7 linked regions of the Ovis aries genome follow. The protein of the gene in region 1 interacts with the protein of each later gene in a biochemical or structural test. Links are inferred from orthologs where the notes say so. Each region holds a gene or a part of one and is shown in the gene's direction. Other genes may lie near its edges.

What was found.
Region 2: of the proteins of KHDRBS1 (region 1) and FGR, one has a biochemical effect on the other in vitro, tested with the Homo sapiens proteins (2 studies listed by BioGRID, with this or other methods). The link is inferred for Ovis aries from reciprocal best matches to the Homo sapiens genes KHDRBS1 and FGR.
Region 3: the proteins of KHDRBS1 (region 1) and FYN form a complex in vitro, tested with the Homo sapiens proteins (4 studies listed by BioGRID and IntAct, with this or other methods). The link is inferred for Ovis aries from reciprocal best matches to the Homo sapiens genes KHDRBS1 and FYN.
Region 4: the proteins of KHDRBS1 (region 1) and ITK form a complex in vitro, tested with the Homo sapiens proteins (4 studies listed by BioGRID, with this or other methods). The link is inferred for Ovis aries from reciprocal best matches to the Homo sapiens genes KHDRBS1 and ITK.
Region 5: the proteins of KHDRBS1 (region 1) and LYN form a complex in vitro, tested with the Homo sapiens proteins (3 studies listed by BioGRID and IntAct, with this or other methods). The link is inferred for Ovis aries from reciprocal best matches to the Homo sapiens genes KHDRBS1 and LYN.
Region 6: the proteins of KHDRBS1 (region 1) and RASA1 form a complex in vitro, tested with the Homo sapiens proteins (2 studies listed by BioGRID). The link is inferred for Ovis aries from reciprocal best matches to the Homo sapiens genes KHDRBS1 and RASA1.
Region 7: the proteins of KHDRBS1 (region 1) and FNBP4 form a complex in vitro, tested with the Homo sapiens proteins (2 studies listed by BioGRID and IntAct, with this or other methods). The link is inferred for Ovis aries from reciprocal best matches to the Homo sapiens genes KHDRBS1 and FNBP4.

Annotation. Positions count from the first base shown.
Region 1 is NC_056055.1:235,455,258-235,458,757, reverse strand, and holds part of KHDRBS1 (KH domain-containing, RNA-binding, signal transduction-associated protein 1), read left to right. Parts: intron 1-81; coding exon 82-206; intron 207-1,361; coding exon 1,362-1,478; intron 1,479-2,637; coding exon 2,638-2,784; intron 2,785-3,500. UniProt on the Homo sapiens protein: Recruited and tyrosine phosphorylated by several receptor systems, for example the T-cell, leptin and insulin receptors. Once phosphorylated, functions as an adapter protein in signal transduction cascades by binding to SH2 and SH3 domain-containing proteins.
Region 2 is NC_056055.1:239,424,390-239,427,889, forward strand, and holds part of FGR (tyrosine-protein kinase Fgr), read left to right. Parts: exon of another isoform or gene 1-19; intron 20-546; exon of another isoform or gene 547-670; intron 671-1,277; 5' UTR 1,278-1,347; intron 1,348-2,273; 5' UTR 2,274-2,286; coding exon 2,287-2,506; intron 2,507-2,977; coding exon 2,978-3,080; intron 3,081-3,500. UniProt on the Homo sapiens protein: Non-receptor tyrosine-protein kinase that transmits signals from cell surface receptors devoid of kinase activity and contributes to the regulation of immune responses, including neutrophil, monocyte, macrophage and mast cell functions, cytoskeleton remodeling in response to extracellular stimuli, phagocytosis, cell adhesion and migration.
Region 3 is NC_056061.1:25,879,285-25,883,547, forward strand, and holds the start of FYN (tyrosine-protein kinase Fyn), read left to right. Parts: upstream 1-1,463; 5' UTR 1,464-1,915; intron 1,916-4,263. UniProt on the Homo sapiens protein: Non-receptor tyrosine-protein kinase that plays a role in many biological processes including regulation of cell growth and survival, cell adhesion, integrin-mediated signaling, cytoskeletal remodeling, cell motility, immune response and axon guidance.
Region 4 is NC_056058.1:66,503,356-66,506,855, forward strand, and holds part of ITK (tyrosine-protein kinase ITK/TSK), read left to right. Parts: intron 1-1,501; coding exon 1,502-1,673; intron 1,674-2,028; coding exon 2,029-2,245; intron 2,246-3,167; coding exon 3,168-3,232; intron 3,233-3,322; coding exon 3,323-3,441; intron 3,442-3,500. UniProt on the Homo sapiens protein: Tyrosine kinase that plays an essential role in regulation of the adaptive immune response. Regulates the development, function and differentiation of conventional T-cells and nonconventional NKT-cells.
Region 5 is NC_056062.1:36,204,287-36,207,786, forward strand, and holds part of LYN (tyrosine-protein kinase Lyn), read left to right. Parts: intron 1-2,016; coding exon 2,017-2,199; intron 2,200-3,500. UniProt on the Homo sapiens protein: Non-receptor tyrosine-protein kinase that transmits signals from cell surface receptors and plays an important role in the regulation of innate and adaptive immune responses, hematopoiesis, responses to growth factors and cytokines, integrin signaling, but also responses to DNA damage and genotoxic agents.
Region 6 is NC_056058.1:84,650,801-84,654,300, forward strand, and holds part of RASA1 (ras GTPase-activating protein 1), read left to right. Parts: coding exon 1-66; intron 67-940; coding exon 941-1,075; intron 1,076-2,060; exon of another isoform or gene 2,061-2,259; coding exon 2,260-2,343; 3' UTR 2,344-2,389; exon of another isoform or gene 2,390-3,500. UniProt on the Homo sapiens protein: Inhibitory regulator of the Ras-cyclic AMP pathway. Stimulates the GTPase of normal but not oncogenic Ras p21; this stimulation may be further increased in the presence of NCK1.
Region 7 is NC_056068.1:76,423,842-76,427,341, reverse strand, and holds part of FNBP4 (formin-binding protein 4), read left to right. Parts: intron 1-2,287; coding exon 2,288-2,412; intron 2,413-3,397; coding exon 3,398-3,500.

The DNA of each region.
Region 1 (3,500 bases):
CTTACTGCTTTAAGTAGACTCAGAATTTTGCCTTTATTTAAAAGAACAAAGCTAAATTAAATTTCTGTTTGTCCTATTCAGAAATTGAGAAGATTCAGAAAGGGGATTCAAAAAAGGACGATGAGGAGAATTACTTGGATTTATTTTCTCACAAGAACATGAAGCTGAAGGAGAGGGTTCTGATACCTGTCAAGCAGTATCCCAAGGTAAGGGAAAGAGTGCCTCATTTCTTTGAATTGGCTTCGTAGTATGAGAATGTGTAGTATGTGGTGTGTCTTGTAGCACCAGCTGTAACAAAAGATTTGCAGAGGTTGTGGGCCTGGTGAAGGTTCTGTCCCATGCTTATAATGACTGTATCCAGCAGGCAAGACACACAGGCCTGCAACTAAGAGCATAGCTACAGCCAGGAAGGAAATGCGACCATCTTTTTATTATCAAAAAAGGAATTTCTTTCTCAAATGTTTGTTTAGCTTCAAGCTTAAAGGAAAAAAATTGAACCGTAATTGTTCTTTGTCGAAAGATTGAGCTGAAGTTTAAATAAAAGAAATACAACACAAATCCTTGTGACACAATGAATAAGTTAATTTTATTTCTTACTCAAAGTTTTTTTGCTCTTGTTTGTTTTTGATTTGGGGTATACTGCTTGTGGTATCTTAGTTCCCTGACCAGGAATGGAACCTGTGACCCTTGCAGTGGAAGCACATGGTTTTAACCAGTGAACCTCAAGGGAATTCCCAAAGTTTCACTTTTAAATAAATGGTTTCTACTACTACTCCTTTTATAAAAAAACAAACTAGTTTTAGTCAGACCAGTACTACCAAAGGGGGGTAACGTATGTCTGTTCTGTTCTAAAGTAACTGCCTTAAAAACGTTTATGTATGTTAAATTACAAAGAGTTGTGGAGTGATAATTTGGAAAGAACATCATACTACATCAGGAATTCAAGTTCCAGAACTGCCGCTTTGCAGTTTTGTGCCATGCCATGCTCAGTTGCTCACTCATGTCCAACTCATTGTGACTGTAGCCTGCCAGGCTCCTCTGTCCCTGGGGTTTTCCAGGCAAGAATACAGAAATAGGTTGCCGTTTTCTCCTCCAGGGGGTCTTTGCAACCCAGAGATTGAACCAGCATCTCCTGCATTGGCAGATGGATTCTTTACCACTGAGCCACCCAGGAAGCCTCTTTCCAGTTGTATAACCTTTGGCTAATCAATTTTATCAGTACCACTTCAGTATATCCTTCAGTAAAATGGGAGTGGTTAGTACTCTACTTCCTTTACAGGAAGTATTGAAGATAAATAATACATATAGAAATATTTTATAGGAACATACACATTTAGAAATCTGTCTTTATTTTCTATCAGTTCAATTTTGTGGGAAAGATCCTTGGACCACAGGGAAATACAATCAAAAGACTGCAAGAAGAGACTGGTGCAAAGATTTCTGTGTTGGGAAAAGGCTCAATGAGAGACAAAGCCAAGGTAAGCTCACATTAATGAGGCAAGAAGACACCCGAATGCCTTCCAGTAACCTAGAGTCCAGTATGGATACCTATGGAAGCTAGTTCTTACGTGTGTACTGAAAGTGATTCCCTTAAATTCGCATTGGATGTGAGAGATTGTAGACCAGTTAATTTACTTTGGCAACCCAAGAAGAACCTTGGTATGCCCTGGTGATTGTTTTCTTTCTGACTTGACTGTGTAGTAATGGAAATAGCAGTAGCAGCTTTGGCCTTTAGTAAGCTTATCTAGGAAAACTTGGAAGGGGAGGCTGAATGTACTGAAACTTACCCAGCTAAAGACACTAAATGTGAAGAGCATTCTGTTTCCAGTTAGTGTGGGAAAATGTGAGCAATAGTGTTGTGAGTGCAGGTGAGTTTGAAGATTAGTTGGCTGGTTTGTTTTATAGCCAGCTGGAATGTGAGGCATGCTAAAGGAAGATGTCACAGAAGGAACCATGAGAAATCCTGACAATAGAATCCAGAGCTTATTTTTCCCCAGGCCATAGCCCCGTATTCTTTATACTCTCTCTAAGTGTGGAGAAACTTCCCACCAAAATAAAATAGTCTTAGCTTTCTAGAATCAGCTTTTTAGATGGGATATAACCTGCTCCAGCCTAAAAACTTAACTCTTTCAGGCCTCCTTGTATGCAGCCTGATTGATGAGCATTTAGGGCTGAAGTATAATACTCTGTTTAATGAGGTGTACATGAGATTTTCTTCTATTGTGACTTTTTTCCTTCTCTATACAAGCAGATCAGAAGAGCTGGTGATTAACAGCTCTACCTGGGGTTTATTAATAAAAGCAAATGCTTGGCAATTAATGAATGAGTGGATGGATGCTTGGCAAACAGCCGTTATCCGAATGGAGACTGGAATTACATTTGTCTCTTCTGTGCCTTCTAATATGAGCTCCAATGAACACACCAGCAATTCAGAACAACAGCTTTTAGCAGCAGACCAATCGCAGGTTTAGCAGACTGTGTAAATTACTGTACTCCAGAGTTTACTTTTTTCTTACACTTTACTGGGTTTTTCTGAGGTGTTGGAGTCATTTCTTACTGTCCCTTTGGCCTAATGGTAAAGGTGTCATTTTCTACATAGTCCAAGTGATAATGTTGTTTCTGTGCATTTTTTCACAGGAGGAAGAGTTGCGCAAAGGTGGAGACCCCAAATATGCCCACTTGAATATGGATCTGCATGTCTTCATTGAAGTCTTTGGACCCCCATGTGAGGCTTATGCTCTTATGGCCCATGCTATGGAGGAAGTCAAGAAGTTTCTAGTACCAGTAAGGAAATCCATATCCTGTATCATTTGAGCAAGAGAAAACTAGGATCTTGTGCTTATTGCTAAGGCAGGGGTTCTTAACCAGGGTCTCTGCATAACCTGAAATTGCATATCCAATTCTGCATTTATGTTCATTTTTCTGAGGTAGTCCATTACTTGCACCTAGTTCTCAAACCACTGTGCCCCGAGGCCACTCTACCAGTCCTAGTTTTAATGTGATTTTAGTTGTATGCCAGTATCTTTTGTCAATATCTTGGATCCACAGTATGTCTTGGCATTCCAACATTTGGTTAACAAAGATTTAACAAGGTCTTCAATAAATTAAGTATTTTGGTGCTAGTATGGAACCAGGAGATTATGACAGGAAAATGGTGAAGGTGGTTGTAACCCCCCTGCAGTTAAGGGGTTATAGTATAGACTCCTGAGAGTCTAGATGATGATAACAGTATCATCTAGTCTGATGATGTGTTATCTGGCCTCCAGTGTTAATGGGTTAAATTCTGACCTGAGTGCATTCAAGACTCTGTCCTGGAGGAGTTTACTCAAGTAGAGTTGATTTGAAGGAGGCATGATGGTTGTAGGCGTTAACTGTTAATGACGTTAAACAGATTGGTATATAGCTTCTTTCAGAATGTATTTAAGGCCTTGGAAGAGTTGGAACAGACCAGGTTACCTGTCTTCCTTATTACCACCTGGTCAGAGGTTATTCATTCTTTG
Region 2 (3,500 bases), about 4.0 Mb from region 1:
GGAAGGTTTCCTGGAAGAGGTGAGTGGTGCAGGCTGGACAGGTGGGCAGGACCCATAGAGAGGAGAAGGGAACCAGACTCAGGAGTCGAGAAAGGCGAGGCGGGACACCTGTCCTGAGGGTCCTCTGGGAGAAATGAAGGCACACCGGGTTGGCCCCACCCTAGAGCTCACATCCGGAGAAGGCAATGGCACCCCACTCCAGTACTCTTGCCTGGAAAATCCCATGGACGGAGGAGCCTGGTAGGCTGCAGTCCATGGTGTCGCTAAGAGTCGGACACGACTGAGTGACTTCACTTTCACTTTTCACTTTCATGCATTGGAGAAGGAAATGGCAACCCACTCCAGTGTTCTTGCCTGGAGAATCCCAGCCTGGTGGGCTGCCGAGTCAGACACAACTGAAGTGACTTAGCAGCAGCAGCAGCAGAGCTCACATCTGAGGAAGTCGAGCCCTTTCCCCGGCAGTTCCTCTCTGAGTGTTGCAATGGCAGAGTTTCTGGCAGGGTGTGGAAAGCCCTTGCTCAATGACCTGCTTGCCTTGTCACTCAGAAGACACAGCTACCGGGAAAGCCTTGGCTCCCTTGGGGGCTTCCCAAGGGACCTGGTGGTCCTGACTTCTGACCTGGGCCTTTCCGTGGTGTGGAACAAGCTCTGGAGGTAGGTGGCTCTGGAGGTAGGTGTCCATCTTCCCTCGACTATTCAATGTAGTCCTGGGACTGCTGGGGTTTACCCAGACCAGGGAGGGGTGCCAAGGCAGAGCTCAGAGGGAGGGCTTGGTTTTAGGAGACAGTGACCAGAGGCCTAGAGGGAACTGAACAGGGCTGATAGAAATCCTGTTAGAGACCTGGGTCTAACCCCGAGATGTGCTTAGATGAGTGTGCGAGTCTGTGAGCCTGAGTGGGCAACCTGTGTGCACGTGCGTGTGTGCACGTTGCCGTGCCGCGAGCTTGGGCTCGTGTGAGTTGGTTGTGTCGCTGTGTGCTGGTGCTGCTGAGCCTGCTTGGCAGGGGTGTGCTGTGAGTGCCGCGGGTGACTGTGCCGCTGTGTGTGCTGCTCGTGTGCTGATGTGTCAGGTGGAGATGAGTGTGAGAGGGCTGGTGTGGGTGGTGGGTCTTGTGTGAGGGTGGATGATTAAGTGAGCCATGGAGGCCAGGAGGAAAAGGAAGGAGGAGTCCTGTCGGGGCAGAGCCCAGGCCCCTGGCTTCCCTGGAGAGGACGCGTGTGGGCATCTGGCCGCCAGAAGCCTGGCAGGGACTTCATCTTCTGTGTCCTCTGTCCAGCCCTCAGGTCTCCGGCCCCTCCTGAGGACCATGCCACAGCCCTTCTGACGCAGGAGTAGGGGCCTGAGGGGTGAGTGGGGGCTGAGGGCTCCCCGGGTCAGGAAATGGGGTGGCGGTGGCCTTTCTGGGCCCCACAATTCCTCACAGCCCCTTCCTCCTACAAGGGCCCTGTTGCTAGGTAACAGATGGGGGAGCGAGAGTGAGGCAGCTTGAAAGGCCAGAGGCTGGACCCACGACAGGAAATGGCCTTGATCCCCCTCTGCAGGGACTCTCCAGGTGCAGGCACACAGGCCTCACACACACTCACACATAAACACGCATTGGCACACAGACATGCGCACATGCACAGACATGCACATACCCACACGGACTGACGCAGACCTGCACACAGAGATACACGCAGGCAGGCACAAATACTCCCACACAGGGCTGCATGCACGGTCATGACACACAGACGCATTCACTCACACACACCTGCAAACACAGAGACACACACATACATGCTGACACAGAAACGCCTGCGTATGGACACTTTCCAACAGACATGAGCACACAGAGACGTTTCATACAAGAACACACTCACATACACACAGACATAGACATTCACAAAGAGCTGCCTAGATACACACAAAGACACGCACCCACGAGCAAAGTCACAAATACTAAGAGACACATGAAAGACACACACACACACACACACACGCACGCACTCTGAGGGGGGGTCATAGAAACCCAACACACTGAAGCAATAGGAGGCAAAAACATGTACATAAACACAGAAACATCTTGAAACAGAAAACCAGTCCTGTGGAGGAGATATATACTCTCCAGAAACACTAAAGCAGCTGTGGGGGAGGACAGAATGGAGACCCTGCCCCCCTTTATCCCTCACTTAGGGATAACTCCCCCCGCCAGGCCTGAGTGAGGCAGCTGCACGCCTCTGCACACTATATGTCTCACGTGGACCCCTGAGTGAACCATGCCCCCCTTCTGTAGCAGGGCACCTGGCATGGGCTGTGTGTTCTGCAAGAAGTTGGAGCCGGGGGCCAAAGAGGATGATGGTCTGGAAGGGGACTTCAAGAACTATGGGGCTGCAGACCGCTACGGCCCCGACCCTACTCAGAGCCGGCCTGCATCTTCCTTTTCCCACATCCCCAACTACAACAGCTTCTCCCCTCAGCCCGCCAGCCCCGCCTTCCTCGATGCGGGCACCATCCGGGGCATCTCAGGTGAGGCCAGGGGGCTGGAGGCAAGCACTGACTGGACCCTCACAGGACCTCAGGGGAGAAGAGACTTGGCCTTGTCCTTCAGAACCTCCAGGATGACTTGGGAGACACAGCCCTGCTTTTAGCGCAGTCTGAGGGAGCCTGTCCAGCCCTACCCTCAGAAACTCCCATCTGAGGGGCAGACAGAGCTCTGTTCCCCGTCTGATGAAAGGACTCTGAAGACAGTTACCAGTGGGATGTCTGCATGGTGGGGGAGAGCAGAAGGGACTCACAGGGAGCCCCCAGGGGAGGAGGGATGAGCTCGATGGTGTCTGTCCTCAATCCATAGGGTCCAAATCAGAAATCCACTGGATTCCAAAGACCTTTGAGCTCCAGGGCACTGCCGCAGTGGAAAGGCAGAGAGCCTGTCTGAGGAACAGGACTCTGGGGGTGCAGCCTCCGGGAGCCCTCTGATGAGTAACCCTGACTCTGCAGGGATTGGGGTGACCATGTTCATCGCCCTTTATGACTATGAGGCCCGAACGGAGGATGATCTCACCTTCACCAAGGGCGAGAAGTTCCACATCCTGAACAACACGTAAGTGATCAGGCCCCCCCGGCTCAGGACCCAGAGAAGAATCTTACTGGTCTTTGTCCTCGGGAAATGCCAGTCTAACTGGAGAAAGAGACAGGACAATAACAATCTCTGGGTAACTGCTACTATGTAGGGGAAGCCTGAGGAACTATGCGCACGGAAAGAACACCAATCACAGCCTCTAGGGTACTAGTGATCAGGGTAGGCTTTCTGGAGGAGATGATTTCTAAGCTGAGACCAGAAAAACGAAGAGACATTGAAAGAAGAGGTGACAAAAAAGGAAGAGAGTTAGAATGAAACTACATGATGACTTCTGGAAACCACCAAGTGGTTCAGATTAGGAGGGTCATAAAGTCTGAAGTGCGGAACAGATCCTGGAGGACTGGGTGGGAACAGTGTCTGCAGGGCTTTTTAAGCCATCTT
Region 3 (4,263 bases), on another chromosome or scaffold:
AATAGAATCTAAAACAGTAGATATATGTATATGTATAACTGATTCACTTTGCTGTACAGCAGAAACTAAGACATTGTAAATTAACTATACTCCAATAAAAATAGATTAAAAACAAACAACCCCCTCCCCACCCAATATTGCACAGATTTCTCAGGGGGAAGTTTCCATATAAATACCTCTTAGTTTAATTTTTTTTTAAGTACTATGTATCCAAAAAAAGGCAGAAAAAGTGACTGGTATTTGAAAACTACAGTCAAAACTTAGTGGGCAGGAAAGGTAATATTATAGATTTTGAACATAGAAGCAGATGCCAATTCACTTATATTTCTCAGAGCGCTATATTTTGCTGAGGGGGTAGGGTAGGATTCTTGCCAAAATCATTAAGAAGAATGAATCTGAGCATGCCTTAGAGTAGAACTTTCAGTAAACAGGAATTACCTATAAAGAAAATCAGGAAGCTGAAGTGTTTGCTTTTTTTTTAATGAAGTTACATCCTGCCATAGAAATGCTGGATAGGAAATAAAGACTGATGCACTCCCAGTTGTATATTAAACCAGCTATTATTTCATCAAGGAAAATCTGAGCAAAAGCTCAGATTTAGAGAAGGAAAAAAACCACGGGAAGGCTGAATTCATGAGAAAACAAAGACAACCAATGGCTACAATTGAACATGCTTTTGGAAAAAGCTATACAAACAAACACCCACTCTGTGATTGCAGATTCCATAGTAGTCGCTTGCCCTCTCCACCCCTTACTCGTATTTCCCTAATACTTCCTGCAGACTTTGCTTATATATATATACATATATCAGAAGACTATCAGTTCATTCTAATTTATTCCGTTTTATCCCCTTCCTTTTCTTCCTCCCCCTCCTTATAATTACTGATAATATTAACCGCGCGTTTCCAGGTTTCTCTTTTTTCCAGGTTTCTGTGATGGGATTCTCCCTTGCTCCGCACTCTTCGGTTTGATCAGAGAAAACAATTTAATCATCCTAACAGTTTCCCAATTTATCCTCCCACCTTCAAATTAAAAGACAACAGAAAGGAAAGATAGCCCTTTCTCAAGGCAGGTTCCCATGGTTTTGAGGGAATGGCAGATGCCTTTCTGCAGTAGCGGCTGCAACCTTCTCCAAAGCAGAAACTGAAGCTCACACTCTCCTCTTCTTTCCTTACCCTAACCCACTACCTCAAGTCCACGTAAACCTTAAAAAACACACACGCACAACTCCTCCAATCTAGTATCCCCTCTCACACCCTTACACCACAAGCACGCCAGGATGCCCAATGCCACCGGAACGCTCTGCCCACTCGGTGGCCCCACCCATCGCCGCCCCGCCCCCGCTTCAACCACCAATGGTCGCCGCCCGCTGCTCCCGAGGGGCTCGTTGATTGGACAGTGGAGCCTGCCACTCTCGCGGGGCCTCCCGCCCTCCCTCACTCCCCGCTGGGGCTGGAGGGGCTGGAGCATCAGCGCGAGTAGCTCGGAGCAGCCGCGGCAGCGGCGGCGCGTCGTTGCAGTTGCGCCATCTGTCAGGAGCGGAGCCGGCGGGGAGGGGGCTGCCGCGGGAGAGGAGGAGGGGTCGCCGCGAGCCGAAGGCCGCCGAGACCCGCCCGCCAACCGGCCGAGGGAGCAGAAGAGAGGCTGCCCTCGGAGCCGCGCGTCCATCACCGCCCGGGCGCGCGGCGCTTCACCCCGCGCACCGAGGGCTCCCCAGGCGCACACAAAGCCGCCGCCCGCGCCTGGGAGGGATCCAGTCGCCGGGCCGGGGACACCCGGCGCCGCCCCCTGGGCACTCTCAGAAGGCCCACCGGCTCCCGGGCCCGCCGAGCAACCACCGGAGCCGCTTCGGCCGCGCCGGAGGAGGCGGGGAGTGGACCATGTGAATGGGCTCCGGAGCCTGAGCGCAGCGCAGGTAAGCGGCCGGGGATGCGCCGCGGGGCCGCGGGGATGCTGCGGAGATGCGGGCCGCGGGCGCCGAGCGCAGCGCCGCCCCCGCCGCGGGGCCCGGCGCTGCAGTCTCTTGGCCATCGTTGCCTCTGGGGCTCCCCGCGGGGCTGCCAGGGAGTTGGCCTTGCTTGGAGTCTTGCTGTGGTCGCTCCGGAGGACACCTCTGCGGGCTGCAGCCCCGAGGTAGCGCAGGGCTGGGGGGTCCATTTCCTCAGGGTGTGAATAGGGATTGGCTTGGGGGGTGGCTAGGCCGGCCCAGACTCCGCCTCCGCCCTCTTTTCGGGGCCCCCCGCGGGGACCCGGGCTGTGTGTGTTGTTTTAATGTCAGGGATGATGTAATCACTTAATAATTGATGCCCCGTGCTGCTTCCCTCCCCACCCCACTCCACCCCTGCCCCACTCCTCCACCTCTCGGCCTCCTCCTCCTGTGGCCGTCGCCTTTCCCATCGCATCCTCCAGCTTATTTCTGGCACCTCCCTTGCACTTCCCCCATCCTCCCCTCGACTCTTCCTGTGCCACCACCCACCCTTCCCCAGTCCCCCGTGCTGGAGCCTTAGCTCCTCTTCCTCTGACCCCTCCAACCCTCCTGCTCCCTCAGGCTCCTTTCTCCTTCCTTCTCAGCTCTCTGGATTTCCTCTCTACTTCCCTAGATCGATGACTGTTTTTGTTTGGTCGCCTCCCCTCTCTTATCTCTGCGGCCACAGGCGGAGGGGACTGAGCCAGAAAGAGGCCACCAGGCTTGGGCCTCGGCGGAGATTTGCTGGGACTGAGTGAGAAGAGGGATAATAAAATCACCCTTCTCGCCCCTCCTCCCACCAATAAATCACACAGACTCGCGGGGTGTGTGTGTGTATGTGTGTGTGTGACACAAAGAGCCCTTTCAGTGCACAGAGAGGAGACGCATAAAGTGCCCAAGGGTGGGCGCGATGCTTCTTGTTTCTCTTCCCTGGGGCTTCCCTTTTGCTCAGATAAAGCAGTTGATCTTCTCTCTGAGAGTCTTTCCTGCCACATTTACCAAAAAATAAAAGGCCCCAGATGCAGGGTGGCAGGTGCTGCCGTTTTGCTGTATTCATGGACCGGTAGTGTTGACTGGCGGCTGCAGTACTTCTTAGATTGAAGGGGGAATTGATTTCAGCTGTCTGAAGAGTTGCTTTACTCTCAGGGTAGCACCCTCCCTTGCCCAGTTTTAACTCCCTTTCATGGTAGGGGGTAGGATACATGGGTGTGGGAGAGGGAGAATTTTGTTTCCAAAAGAGAGTTATATTGATGTTTGCTAGGAGTGAGGCAGCCTAACTTGCTTCTCTCAAGTCTAAGGAGGACTGAAGTCATTTGAAATGAAGTCTTGTCCACCCAGTGATGGTTGTTTCACCCTTGTATTTAAAGAAGCTCCTGGGGACATTGCTAACACAGCAGTAAGTCGGTATTTGGAAGACTACTGGGGACTGTGTCTCTCTTGCCTGCTTCAGGGTACCCTTCAGACAGCCACTTCCTTCCTCTCACCGCCAAGCCACTGCCGTACTTTCCACCCTTTGTGCTCTTTCTCCCAAGTCCCTGCCCCTCTGCCCCTCGGGTCCTGTGCTTTCAGACAAGGGACTGATTTTTGGAGGAAGTGGTTTTGTTAATTGTCTCAGGTGTTGGAGGCACTTAGCTATGAGCGAAGAAGGTAGAGAATCTTTTGCCTGATCTCTTAAACCATCTGCTTGATGTTCCTCTTAAAAAGGAAATGTAAATGTAAATCTGGGGGCTTAATGTTCCATTCTGTAAGCCAGTGACTGTTACATGCTTAATCAATAATGTCAAAACTTAGGTCGAACCCATTGATTCCTAAGAGCATGGCTCTTTGACTGTTATAAGTAATAGAACTGTCTCAAGTTCTTCAAGAATTTTATTAGAGAAGAATTGTTATGGTTCATTAAACATTTACTCCTGCACTTTCTAAGGACATTCATCTTGGAACATTTTATATTTTAAAAAAAGCAAAAGGGTTAATGAGGGTAGTGTTCAAAACAAAAAAACAAAGCCTTGTTTGTTTGGCCAAACCCAGGAAAGAAAGTGCACAATAAGCTCACCCTCTGTTGACCGAGTTCAAGAGAGTGGTGAGGTTGAATGTGAACAAATGCATATTCTGCTTTCTGTACTTTTATTCTCTGCTTTCTCCTGGGTCTGAAATCTCCTAACCCCATCTGATTTGCTTGGGTTCTGTTAAACCTAAGGCCCAGCTCAAAAGTCTTCTACTCTGGGATGCTTTCTCCTCCTTTCCCCTTCAAGCAAATCACCATGCCTCCAATTTTGCTTTCACACTTCAGCAGCTGG
Region 4 (3,500 bases), on another chromosome or scaffold:
AGTACATTATATATCTGGAGATGGTATACACAAATGAACATTTACAATGTGTGTAAGATAGATAGATAGACAGATGCACATTTATCTAGGTCATATCAATGAAGTGTTCGCTGACCACCTGCTCTGTACAGAGCATTCCACTCAGTGCTGTGAGAAACCAATGCTACACCACTGTGTTCCTGCCTATCTTCTAGAACTTCTGTATCATCTGGTTTATTGGCTATCAGTCCCTTGCAGGTGCTATAAGCTAGCAGCATCCAGAAGTGTGTGTCCACATAGCACTGTGTTAAAATTTTTTGAATGCTTTTAGACAGGGCATACATCTCCAGGGCCATGGACCTTACTTTTCCTTCCTTCCCTATGAAACCGCTTCACCCCCTTGTACTTTCTGCCTGGAACCTGAAGGCATTTGGGGATGCAAACATACCCTGATCCCAACTGTGCTGGCCGAGGAGAAGGCTGATGTAACTTTCATGTTGTAACTTTTATGTTGGTGGTCCTCAAACTTCGGTGGGCATTCAAGTTATCTAGGATGCTTATGAAAAGTATTGACTCCCAGCCCCAACCCAGCACTTACCAAAACGCAATCCCTGACAGTTGGGTCCTGGAGCTGCATTTTCAGCAAGTGCCCTGGGTGATTCTGACACCAGGGGTTAGAGGGTGATACTTTGAGAAATGTCGCTGTGGGCTCCTCATCTGTAACCAGCGCCATGTCTGCACACTGTGGGTTCTTGGTACTGCTTCCTATTGAGTCTCTGCCTCAGAGAGGTAGAAACTGAACTGTTTATGGTACTAGACCAAGCGCCAGGAGAGGATAGTGCCCCTCAGCCTCCTGACAAAAACAAAGTAACTCCAATACCTGTAGAATCCTAATGTGTTCATGCTGGGTGGAAGCCCAGAGAGTATTTTATGAACCCATTCATTTCTGTCAGCATGGAGGTTGAGACTCAGATCCCTTTTATTCACTTGCTGAGCATTTGTTGAGAGCCTGCCTTGTGCTAGGCCGTGTGCTGGCCTGCACCTCTGTACCACTCCACCTGGAATCCACTGCCTTACCTCCGCTAAGGCCTAACAAGTGCTGTCTACAAAATGGATGCTCTTGATGGATAAATGCATGAATGAATGACCAATTCAAATAAAACTTGCTCTACATGAAAAATGGCAAGAACAATTTTCGATTAGGTATAGGAGATGATTGGGACCTTAGAACCCTTTCATTGACTTTAATATCTCAACTAATGCCGTCCTCCGTCCTCTTTCCATGTGATCGTCCCCACACACATTTTTTCATGGTTTTCAGTGCACATTCTATGTAATTATTTGGGAAAAAGATAATTTTACCTATCTATAGTTCTAAGTATGAGGGCTTATACCATTTGCCATCTTTGAGCTACATTAACGATAGTCTAACATTCTATATAGAGCAGTATAGTTTCCTGGTAGTCCTATACCTCATATCTACTGCTTGCCAACTCTGGAAAACCCTCTCTTTCTGTTCCAGGGAAATGGGTGATTGATCCCTCAGAGCTCACTTTTGTGCAGGAGATTGGCAGTGGGCAGTTTGGGTTGGTGCATCTTGGCTACTGGCTCAACAAGGACAAGGTGGCCATCAAAACCATTCAAGAAGGGGCTATGTCAGAAGAGGACTTCATTGAGGAGGCTGAAGTCATGATGTGAGTGGCCACACAGAGAGCACTGTGATCTTTCAATACCATTCTAATGTCGTCTTATGCCACCTCCCTGCCCAAGTCCAGCGATGGCTTCCTATGGCATGGAGAATAACACCAAGCTCCTCACTGTGGTCTAGAACGCCTGCCATGGTCTGGCCCTGCCCACTCCTTAACTTCATCTCCTACCCATCTCTCCTCTGGTTCCATGCATGCCAGTCACACTGACCTTCGTTGTCCTCACACACACCAGCTGAGTCCGCGCCATTCTTCAGCTCAATGAGACATTTTTGTTTGAGGGAGGGAGTGTATTTTGGGAAACTGAATTTAGACCATCTCAACTCTTGCCATTGTTCTCCAGGAAACTCTCTCACCCCAAACTAGTCCAGCTCTATGGAGTATGCCTGGAACAGGCCCCCATCTGCCTGGTGTTTGAGTTCATGGAACACGGCTGCCTGTCAGATTACCTGCGTAGCCAGAGGGGGCTCTTTGCCGCGGAGACCCTGCTGGGCATGTGTCTGGACGTATGTGAGGGCATGGCCTACCTGGAAGAGAAGTGTGTCATCCACAGAGACTTGGTAAGAGGATGCAGGGCAAAACCCTACAAGTCCAGGGTAAAGGGGCATGTCCCACTGAAATGCAGAACTACCAAGTCTGGGAACGGCACGAATCAATAAAAAGGCACAAGCTTTCTTCCTCCCCGTTGCAACTTCTTCCTTCCTCCACCCATGTGGGAGAGCCTCATGGGACTCAGTTCTGGGCTCTATTCCCAGCCCCACCTCTAACTTCCACTCTCTAAGTTGGAGTTTACATTCTTCCAAAATGAAGCTAACAGCGGCTCCTCCTTAACCTCTCTATGTCTCCACATCCTCTTGGTAAAATGAGAGAAGTTGACAAGCACATGCTTTCTTAAAATGTTATCCAAGGATCTATCAGGATCGCATTGGGGTGATCCTAGAACCAACCTCAGAATTTCTGGTGGTTGAGGCGCAGGAATATTCATTTTAACATGTCTACCCCATGGAATTTGCAGGCACATTAGAATTTAAGACTCACTGGATCTTTTATCAGTAAGGGATCTTCAAATCCAAGACTCTGTGATGTGAGTTAGGGACCATGTCATCTCCCCATTGAGGAATAGTTTTAAGAGAATTAGCAACCTCAATACATTCTCACTTTAGTCAAATGGATGACAGCTTCTCCATACCATCCCTAAGATTCACATCAGGTTGCACTGGAGCTTATAATTGGTTACACAACACCATGGATTTCTTTTTTGATTAGGATCCCAGGAATGAAGATGAAAGATGAGATTTACTCACCCTGATAAAAAGAGCTTACGCATTCAGTTTCCATCGCGCACTAGTGATGCTTAATTAACATTTGTGAAGCTCCTTATTGCTCCCATATAAGCAAAGCACTGTGATTATAGGAGACTCCTTAATTACTGATTACTCACCAAGTTTTCTTTTCCCTTTTGTTTGCCTGTCTCTGCTCCAGGCTGCCCGGAATTGTTTAGTTGGGGAAAACCAAGTCATCAAGGTGTCCGACTTTGGGATGACAAGGTAACATGGGGATGTGGTACCAGCAAAGTCTCAGGAATGGGACGCAGGCCCCCAGGACACTCGGACCATCTCTCTCCTCTCTCTTCCCAGGTTCGTCCTTGATGACCAATACACCAGTTCCACAGGCACCAAATTCCCAGTGAAGTGGGCATCTCCAGAAGTCTTCTCCTTCAGTCGCTACAGCAGCAAGTCAGATGTGTGGTCATTTGGTAAGTGTCATTCTGGCCCCACACCCACACAACCTGGGACTGTGTGCCAGTTGTTTCAT
Region 5 (3,500 bases), on another chromosome or scaffold:
GGGCTTTTTTGTCTTGGGATAAAAACATTTTATCAATTAGAAAAAATCTAATGAAATTAAGAAAATCAAATTAATTAGAGAGAATGGTACAGTGCATATGGAGCTTTGTTTACCATTGTTTTATTAAAAAAACCTTTTGATTTTAGAATAATTTTAAGTTCTTTGATAAAGATAATACAAAGAATTCTCATATACCCTTTACTCAGTTGCCCCTAATGTTAGGTGCTGTTCTGTGCTTAGTCGCTCAGTCATTTTGCGACCAATTTCATGGCCGACTCTTTGTGACCCCATGGACTGTATGTAGCCCACTAGGCTCCTCTGTCCGTGGGATTCTCCAGGCAAGAATATTGGAGTGGGTTGCCATTTCCTTCTCCAGGGGATCTTCCCAACCCAGGGATTGAACCCACATCTCCGGCATTGCAGGCTGATTCTTTGCCGTCTGAGCCACCAGGGAAGCCCAAGAATACTCAAGTGGATAGCCTATCCCTTCTCCAGGGGAACTTCCTGACACAGGAGTCAAACCGGTGTCTCCTGCATTGTAGGCGAACTCTTTACCAGCTGAGCTGCTACCAGGGAAGCCCCCTAATGTTACATATATAGGTTTTGTTTTTCTTTTTATTATTATTTTTAAGCACTTATTTATTTGTCTGCACCAGGTCTTCGTTGCAGCACGCGTGATCTTTTTAGTTGCAGCATGTGAGATCTTCAGTTCAGTTCAGTTCAGTCGCTCAGTCGTGTCCAACTCTTTGCGACCCCATGAACTGCAGCACACCAGGCCTCCCTGTCCATCACCAACTCCCAGAGTCCACCCAAACCCATGTCCATCGAGTCAATGATGCCATCCAACCATCTCATCCTCTGTCATCCCCTTCTCCTCCTACCCTCAATCTTTCCCAGCATCAGGGTCTTTTCCAATGGGTCAGCTCTTCACATCAGGTGGACAAAGTACCAGAGTTTCACCTTCAACATCAGTCCTTCCAATGAACAGCCAGGACTGATCTCCTTTAGGATGGACAGGTTGGATCTCCTTGCAGTCCAAGGGACTCTCAAGAGTCTCCTCCAACACCACAGTTCAAAAGCATCAATTCTTCTGTGCTCAGCTTTCTTTATACTCCAACTCTCACATCCATACACGAACACTGGAAAAACCACAGCCTTGACTAGACTGACCTTTGTTAACAAAGTAATGTCTCTGCTTTTTAATATGCTGTCTAGGTTGGTCATAACTTTCCTTCCAAGGAGTAAGCTTCTTTTAATTTCATGGCTGCAGTCACCATCTGCAGTGATTTTGGAGCCCAGAAAAATAAAGTCAGCCACTGTTTCCACTGTTTCCCCATCTATCTGCCATGAAGTGATGGGACCAGATGCCATGATCTTCGTTTTCTGAATGTTGAGCTTTAAGCCAACTTTTTCACTCTCCTCTTTCACTTTCATCAAGAGGCTGTTTAGTTCTTCTTCACTTTCTGCTATAAGGGTGGTGTCATCTGCATATCTGAGGTTGTTGATATTTCTCCTGGGAATCTTGATTCCAGCTTGTGCTTCCTTCAGCCCAGCATTTCACATGATGTACTCTGCATATAAGTTAAATAAGCAGGGTGACAATACACAGCCTTGACGTACTCCTTTTCCTATTTGGAACCAGTCTGTTGTTCCATGTCCAGGTCTAACTGTTGCTTCCTGACCTGCATACAGGTTTATCAAGAGGCAGGTCAAGTGGTCTGGCATGCCCATCTCTTGAAGAATTTTCCACAGTTTATTGTGATCCACACAGTCAAAGGCTCAAACTCTTAGTTGTGTCATGTGGGATCTAGTTCCCTGACCAGGGATCAAACCTGGGTCCCCTGCATTGGGAGCTCAGCATCTTAGCCACTGGACCACCAGGGAAGTCCCTAAAGGTTTTAGATAATGTTAACACGATAGGGTTTATAGAAGTTTTTTCTGTCTATAGCTAAATATTCTTCTAAGTCTGCATGAAGTTTTTGATGAATCATAACCTCCCTTCTTTTCCCTCCCTAGGTTACTATAACAACAGCACCAAAGTGGCTGTAAAAACACTGAAGCCAGGCACAATGTCTGTGCAAGCGTTCCTGGAGGAGGCCAACCTCATGAAGACGCTGCAGCACGACAAGCTGGTGCGGCTGTATGCCGTGGTCACCAGGGAGGAGCCCATCTACATCATCACTGAGTACATGGCCAAGGGTGAGTACCCGCCCCCACTAGGGCTTGTGGCGGCCCAGCCCTCGGAAAGGACACCCAGGCATGTGATGGCCCAGCCCTCAGAAGGAGAACACTTAAACATTCAGAGACCCCTCAGATAATTCAGATTATCAGCAGCAGGCTCACTCCAAGGGCTTCCCAGCTGGCACAAGTGGTAAAGAACCCGCCTGCCAATGCAGGAGACATAAGAGATGTTAGTTTGATCCCTGGGCTGGAAGATCCCCTGGAGGAGGAAATGGCAGCCCACTCCACTATTCTTGCCTGGAGAATCCCATGGACGGAGGAGCCTGGTGGGCTAGAATCCATGGGATCACAAAGAGTCGGGCACAACTGAAGCAACTTGGCACACAGGCTTATTACAAAAACATCAGAAAACACAGGACAGTGAAGCCCTTTCATAAGCCACCTCCCTGGAAGTCATCTGCTGTAAAAGGAATATGTTGTCTTCCCAGTTTCTGGGCACTTATCTCAATGTACCTGCTGGCCTCAAGAATGAGACCCTAAGCCTAGACGGCCCCCTGGACATACTTGTCAAATAAGTAAATACCGATTTCAAATAAGAGTATTATTGTTTGGGGTTCCAATTGTGAGTTCTCAAAACTGAAAACCAGTTCCTTGTCCTCTTTAGCATTATCTAAACGTTCGGAATGACACTTTAAAACATAAATATTTGAAAAACTTGGCCAGGTCAAGTTCCTGCATTGTCACAGAATCCCTGAAGAAGTGATTTCAAGCAGCCATCTTTTCTCCCACTGCTGTCCCCTTCAGATCAAGGATCTTAAGTCATCATCCTTCTTCCTCCAGCTCAGGAGAAATGCTAATTAAACTGCCCGTGATTTCTAAAGAATCTTCAGAAGGAACGAAGATGATACCTAAGCCATTATCCAGAATTAACAGTGACCTCCTGAGAATGGAGATTATAGTGTGATGCCATAACTGAATAGGTTAGAAAGATGAATATTGCATTTTCTTATTTAATATATGTTAATATTTCAGAATATTAATATCCTCCAGAGTCCTTCTAAAAAAGAATATTTTTTAAGCCCTATCAGGGCTTCCCTGGTGGCTCAGTGGTTAAGAATTCTCCTGCCAGTGCAGGAGACACGGGTTCGATCCCTGATCCTGAAAGAGCCCACATTCCACGGAGCAACTCCGCCCATGCGCCACAGACACTGAGCCTGTGCTCTGGAGCCCAGGAGCCACAGCTGCTGAAGCCCATGCGCCCAGAGCCCATGCTTCACGAGAAGCCACTGCAGTGAGAAGCCTGTACCGCAGCTAGAGAG
Region 6 (3,500 bases), on another chromosome or scaffold:
GAAGGTGTCAATCCATTCATCAAAAGTAATAAACATCGCATGATCATGTTTTTAGATGAACTAGGGGTATGTATACAATTTAAGTATTTTGACACCTAAAAGCTTTTCTATCCAGAACTGAAAAAAAAATTCAAAAGCTGCATATTTTTGTCTACCTTCCTAAACAAATTATTTCATTTGATTATAATGATAATCATTTATTCTTATGATAAGTAGTTTTCACCACGAATATAGTATTGTGGCTTTTGGATTTCTTGTGTCATTTTCAGTTTCTGTCTTGTCTTTCATTATCTTCTTAGCTGCCCACCTCACCACTATGTCAGTCTGTTGCTGCTTTAGCTGCTTTAACAAAGTAGTGGAACTTGAAACAGTAAAATCAGTATTTAGTCTGGTAGTACTTTATTGACACTAAATTACTTTATGAAACTTAAGATAATTAACACTGATTTCTATATGTTAATTATGTGTTTGTGGCATAGTCCACAGATAATTATAGACCTGAATGGTTCTCATTAACACCTGTCATGTAGCTCTTATATGTGCTGATGAGTTTGGACAAATTATACCAGTTTAATCATGAAAGTCAGTCTGAAAGAGCATAGGAATTTTAAGTTTGGGTTGCCTTTAATCCATATTAAAGAGTTAATGCTTGCATTATTTGCCCTCCAGATTTTTTTCTTAAAAAAAAAAAAACTCTTCATAGATTTAAAATTTAGAAAAACCATTTGCTTAGAATAGCAGTAATACTACATGATATTTTGTCCTGTGACTGAAGAAAATGAAACCTGATTTTTGTGTGAATATTGAGGTCATAAAATCTGTCAAGTTGAATTTTAAGAGATTATTATGTATTAAATTTTATCTATTGTACCAGTTAGGATCTTTTCAGAAGAGATAGTAGTGTCATATTTCTAAACCCAGTTTTATGATTCCCTTAAAGAATGTACCTGAACTTCCGGACACTACAGAGCATTCTAGAACTGACCTTTCCCGTGATTTAGCAGCATTGCATGAGATTTGTGTGGCCCATTCAGATGAACTGCGGACGCTCAGTAATGAGCGTGGTGCACAACAGGTAGGTTTTTGCCAGCCTTTGTTAACAATATTATTTCTTTACATGTAAGCACAATATCAGCATAAGATTCTTTGAGAGCTGATAAACAGCTGAACTACAATTAGTCTTACTTTACTAATTAAAATTTTAAGACTCTGAATCAAAATCCACAAAGATCTCAGCAAACAGGAATGATGAGCCCAGATTAAGATTACATATTTTTGATACCACAAAATGTCAAACCTTGCTTCTAAGTTAATGTGAACTCTACTGAAAAAACGGAGGTGTTTATACCCTTTGTGGCATGTATGGAAGTGGTAAGTGAGCTAACAGTCAATCAGTAGTGATGTAGTGTTTTTCTGTCTGCTTCTGTCACACACACACCGTGCATGGCCAGGTAACTCTGCAAACTGTCAAACACATGAGAATTATGCATGTGTTCTAAGACTGATAAAAACATTTCAAGATCCAGAGATTCTGGAATATGGCCTTAAAAACGAAGCACTGTCACCAGTGGCTGACATGCGGCAGGGGCCTTAGGAGGGGTTAACACATTGACTGCAGTGATTCTGAGTTCTCCTCAATCTGAGATTCTACAGTTCTCGTTTCTTCCCAGTTTAGATACTAATAGCACGATTCACTTAGGTTCCGATCACTTTAGAAACTCAGGCAGAATATGTGCCATAGACCTACTTATATGCTCTTGGCACCTAAATTGCCTTCCTGCTACACTGGAGTTGGGTTTATTATATGGCTTGCCTTAAATACTTTTTTTTTAAATTATTTTTTTGGAGAATGTGGCCCAATTAAGACTTTCTAAGAAAGATAAAGGAGCTGAATGATTTAATTGTAGGCCCAGTGTTGTCATTCATGATTACAGCATTCATTAGACTATAGCCTGATTGCCCTTATGTGCTCTTACAGGGCTTGAGGTGTGTCATTTATAATGATAAATCTGTCTTCTGATAAGATGTTGAGTAAAAAATTATATCTCAACCAAAATAACATGACCAGAAATATTTAATCAAGGACTGAGTAATACATACTTACAGTTGTATGCTTTTTTTTGAGTAGAATGGTAATGTTATTTTATGAATCCCTTTGAGTTCATATGGTATTTTTCAAATCCAGGTTTCCCATCCCTGAGATTTGACAGAGCTTTCATTCATTTACTAATTATTTTCATATTGTTTTTCCTTGTCTAGCATGTACTGAAAAAGCTTCTGGCTATAACAGAACTGCTTCAGCAAAAACAAAACCAGTATACAAAAACTAACGATGTCAGGTAGCAGCCTTCGCCGCAGTGTTCTGCATGGATTCAGCATGCCCCAAATGGTAAATCACATCAGTATAATGTCTCCTTTGCTCTTGCCAAAAAAATAGCACACCTTTCCACATTCCAGTGATGTGTGAGCTATGCAAATAGAACTCAAGATTCTGCTGGTAACTGCTCCAGCAGCTTTGTAAGCTATCTTTACCAACCTCTGAGCCTTGGTGTACAGATCACCTTTCACACAATGTTATGACTGTATCTTGAACTTTGAAAATATATTTTCAATACATTCAATTGCCAAAGTTTTGCTGTTTCTTGAGAAAAGAACTATGAAAAAGCATTCTCTGTTGACAATTGAGTATAACTGGATTGCAGACTGTTCTTACATTACTTCTTCCTGAATTAGGAATATGACCGTCTGACTGTTCAATGACTTTATTTGTATTTACAGTTTCCAGAATTTGCCATTACAATAGGAACAATCCTTGCTGTATACTTTTTTAAAATAACTGTGCTATCTCTGCTGGAACTGTTGAAAGAAAATATATAGAGTGGATCTATTGCTCATCAGCTTTATTTTTTAAACGTACCACTTATTTTGTTGGAATTGTCAAAGACTGTATTTAGAACTCATAATGCTTTTGTTTAATGTTTACAACAGTAAATAGTTTGAATTCAATAAATATTATTGGTCATTGTGTACTGATCAATGCATGTTACCCATTCAACCATTTATAAATGACCAATTTCTTTTGTATGTTAAAAAAAAAAACCTAGAATACTTTCATTGAACATATTCATTAATTCCAAGTTGAATTTTTAAATTATGCGAACAACTTTATCAGCCACTGAACAACTATCCATCTTTGACCTTCTGACTACTTGTTGTATCTGCTGGATATTTAGTTTGACTGTATAGTTTTATTTGCTTCTGTATGTGTATTTTTGTGAATTATTCACAGGGTTAAGTTAAAATAAAACCAAGGGATATCTTAAAATTGATTACTTCTGTCTAAATATAGCTAAACATTTAATTTCATTATATTCTTCCTCCTTTAGGGGCAGTTCAAAATTTAGTACCAGAGCAAGGCCCAGGGAGAAGATGAAATTTGAGCTTTTTTTTTCTAGCTAATGGTCTCTTTTGAAGGATTCTATTAATTCATTATGTATTTG
Region 7 (3,500 bases), on another chromosome or scaffold:
TGTTTGTGAAGTGGGCGTATGTAAATTTTAACATAGGTGAGGTTAACCATATAAATTGTTAAACAACATGATTGTTTTTCACTACTGAGTGTTACAGATGTCTTCATGTAACTCTTCCCTCATTGGTCACCATTTGTATCCTCATTCCACTGTTAAAAGTAATACTGCATTTATATTATCCCAAAAAAGTACAAGCTATTCAAAGGTCCACCTAAAGAATAGTGGATAAATTGTGATGTGTTTTTGAAATTGAATACAGAATAGCAGTGAAAAGTGAATGGTCCATTGTTACATGCATCAACATGAATTATCACTAGAAATAATAATGTTGAGTTTCAAAAGCCACAGAAGAATGCATGTTAGAATTCCATTTATGTGAATTGGAAAACAAGCAAAACTACTGTGCTTCAGGATCTGTCCATGATGAAGGTGCAGGCGCTTCTTAACATCACCAGGATGTGTCTGGTGTGAGCATGATGGGAGAGAGGCACAGGGAGCTTTAAGGTGTTACTAAATGGTCTTCTGTTAAGCTGAGTTGTACTTACTGAAGGGCTCATGTTCTTTATGTATTATACTCGTTAGTTATGATACTTCACAATTAAAATGAAGCTTAGCAAACATCTTGGGACATCTGTGTTTATGCAGGTTTTAGTATAGTATAGACTGCTAGTGGTATATTGCTAGGTTAAGGGGTATGTGCATTTTAATTTGATAAATCCTGCCTAATTGCCCTCCAAAATAATCATATCTTAGAGCTCTAGCAGTTCTTTGAAATTGTTGAATTCTTAAACCTGTCATTAAATGTAAGATGTCTGATGTATAAATAAACTAGAAACTAGTCAATGGGAGAGTAGAAAGATTTAGTTTTAGACAGTTTGAAAATTCAGAAGGAATGTAAATGATCAAATAAAAAGAACAAGGCCATCGTATGATAAGGTTTAGTACTTAATACTAAATTTCAGACTTTTTATGAAAGCTGTTGAGACTGGTGTTAAAGTCACATTTCTTCTTTAGATCAAAGATTAACTGAAGTTAAGAAAGAGTACTCAAATTTGTTCTTTTTCTTTTTATCTATGATCCTCATGAGAGTGATTTATACTGGATATATGGATTAGTTTGATAAGCAGGTGTTTACCAAATATAACAAAGACTTCATATCTCTTATGAACTTTTAGTCCATTTAAATATGTGGTAAACCTGTTCTCTTATGGAGATTCTCACTGCCAGCAGATAGCACTAACCAGAGGAATAAGTAGGTCCAATAAAGGTTGTCTACAGGTGTTAGCCAAGAAGGGAGTTATTTGGTTTAACTCCCAGTTTAATATGCTGTTCTGATTATGGAAGCCTTTTTATCAAAACCCCCTTCATAAAGAATCCTCACATATTCCAGGTTTGATATCTAGCCTTCATAAGTAATTGAAGCCATGGGTTTTTGAAAGAGATCAGAAAAGGAGCTTCCCTGGTGGTCCAGTGGTTAGGACTTTGCACTTCCACTGCAGGGGACCACACGTTTGATTCTTGTTCAGGAAACTAACATCCCACAAGCCACTAAGTGTGACCCAAAAAAAGATCAGAAAAGATTAATAGATGGAGAAAGGAAAAGCAGAAACTTTTGGGTAATGTGATTAAAACAAGTAAATCCTATATGTAGATACATTTTAAGAAATGTGATTATAAAGCAGTCTCCCCAACTTCTTTGGCACCAGGGACCGTTTTGTGGAAGACAATTTTTCCTTGGACCTAGTTGGGGGCGGGGAGGATGAAGGATGGTTTCTGGGTGATTCAAGCAAGTTATGTTTATTGTGTACTTTATTTCTATTACTTTTAACATCAGCTCCATCTCAGATCATCAGGCATTAGACCCTCAAGATAGGGGACCCCTGTTATAAAGAAATAATTTTTTTTTTTTTGCTTTATAAAGACAGTAGGTTGGTAAGTCATTAGAGCTTCCTTAACATGTATGGAAAATAGGCAAAGGAGAGCACTAATAACCTTCAGATACCTCTGCTCTAGGGATAAGAACGTATATTTGGGGCTCTATTAGTACTGGTCTGATTTTTTTTTTTTTAACATTTTTTTTGAAATATAGTTGATTTATAGTTTTGTGTCAGCCTCTCCTATGCAGGAGAGTGACTCAGTTATATACATATAGACATTCTGGTTTTTTTTTCTTAATATTTTCCATTATGGTTTATCACAGGATATGGAGTATAATCCCCTGCACTGTAGAGTAAGACCTTTTTGTTTATCGTCCTTCTGATTTAATTTCTCATATTTTCTCTTGCAGCAGTTGGTGCTGAAAATTCAGAAAAAATGGATGAAAACTCAGATAAAGAGATGGAAGCAGAAGAATCTCCAGAAAAATTAAAAGTACAGACAGTACCTAAAGTAGAAGAAGAACAGGACTTGAAAGTATGTACATTATTTAATGCAACTTGACAAGTAATATTTTTAAATTGGCCAACCATTTTAAATAGGCTATTTTTTTTTTTCTAGAAAGTAGTAAACTTATTCTTCTGGATAGTAGTAAAAAAGTAATCTTTGTTGTCTTTATAATATAAATCATTTGGTTGAGTGAAAAAGATACATTTAAGGCTGAAATAAGGAGACTGACTTGATGTAGGGAAATCTAAAAATAAATTCTAAATGCTTAACTACTTATAAGTAAGTCTCCATTGGAAAGCAGTAGCTTATCAAATATAGGCCTCTCTAGTTTGGAAGCATTAAAAGAAACTAAAGTCACAAATTTAAATAACAGAGTTAACTTGCATGAACTATTGGGTTAGCCAAAAAGTTCATTCAGATTTTTCTGTAACAGCTTACGGAAAAACCAGAACGAACTTTGTGTCCAACCCAATACTTGCCCTTACACAAAAGGCATGCTTGGTTCCATATTTATTTCTGTTGCTAATGTCATGAGAAGAATTGGACCAAGTAAGTATGTGGCTCTTTAAGCGTGGTCTGTTAGGAAAACCACTTCGCCTATTGTTTCGACTTTAAAAAGTCCATCCAGTCAGCAGGTAGTACAGCTGTGCGGGTGGAATTGGGAGAACCCATTTTGTTTAGTGTATGGCTGGCATAAGCAATTAGTGACGGATGCGTGGTGGTTTGGACAGTATTGAGGAGTCATGTCATTTAGGATCTCTTTTCAAATTCCATATTGTTTTAGCGTAGGTACTGCCTCCAGTTTCTCTAGACCTTGCGTCACTATTTATTCTTTCTGTGTGAATTATTTCACTGTAAGTCAGGTTTTATCTTCTGCATAACTAGGTGCAGAATATGGACCCGCCTTGTAGGCAGATCCATTTTTCTAGTGTCTGCAATGAGAAATGAAAGACTGTGCTTACAATATTCTGACTCTTATTAATTTTTCCTTTTTTTCTTTCCTGCATTACAGTTTCAGATTGGAGAACTGGCAAATACCCTGACAAGTAAATTTGAGTTTTTAGGCATTAATAGACAGTCCATCTCCAACTTTCATGTGCTGCTTTTACAAACTG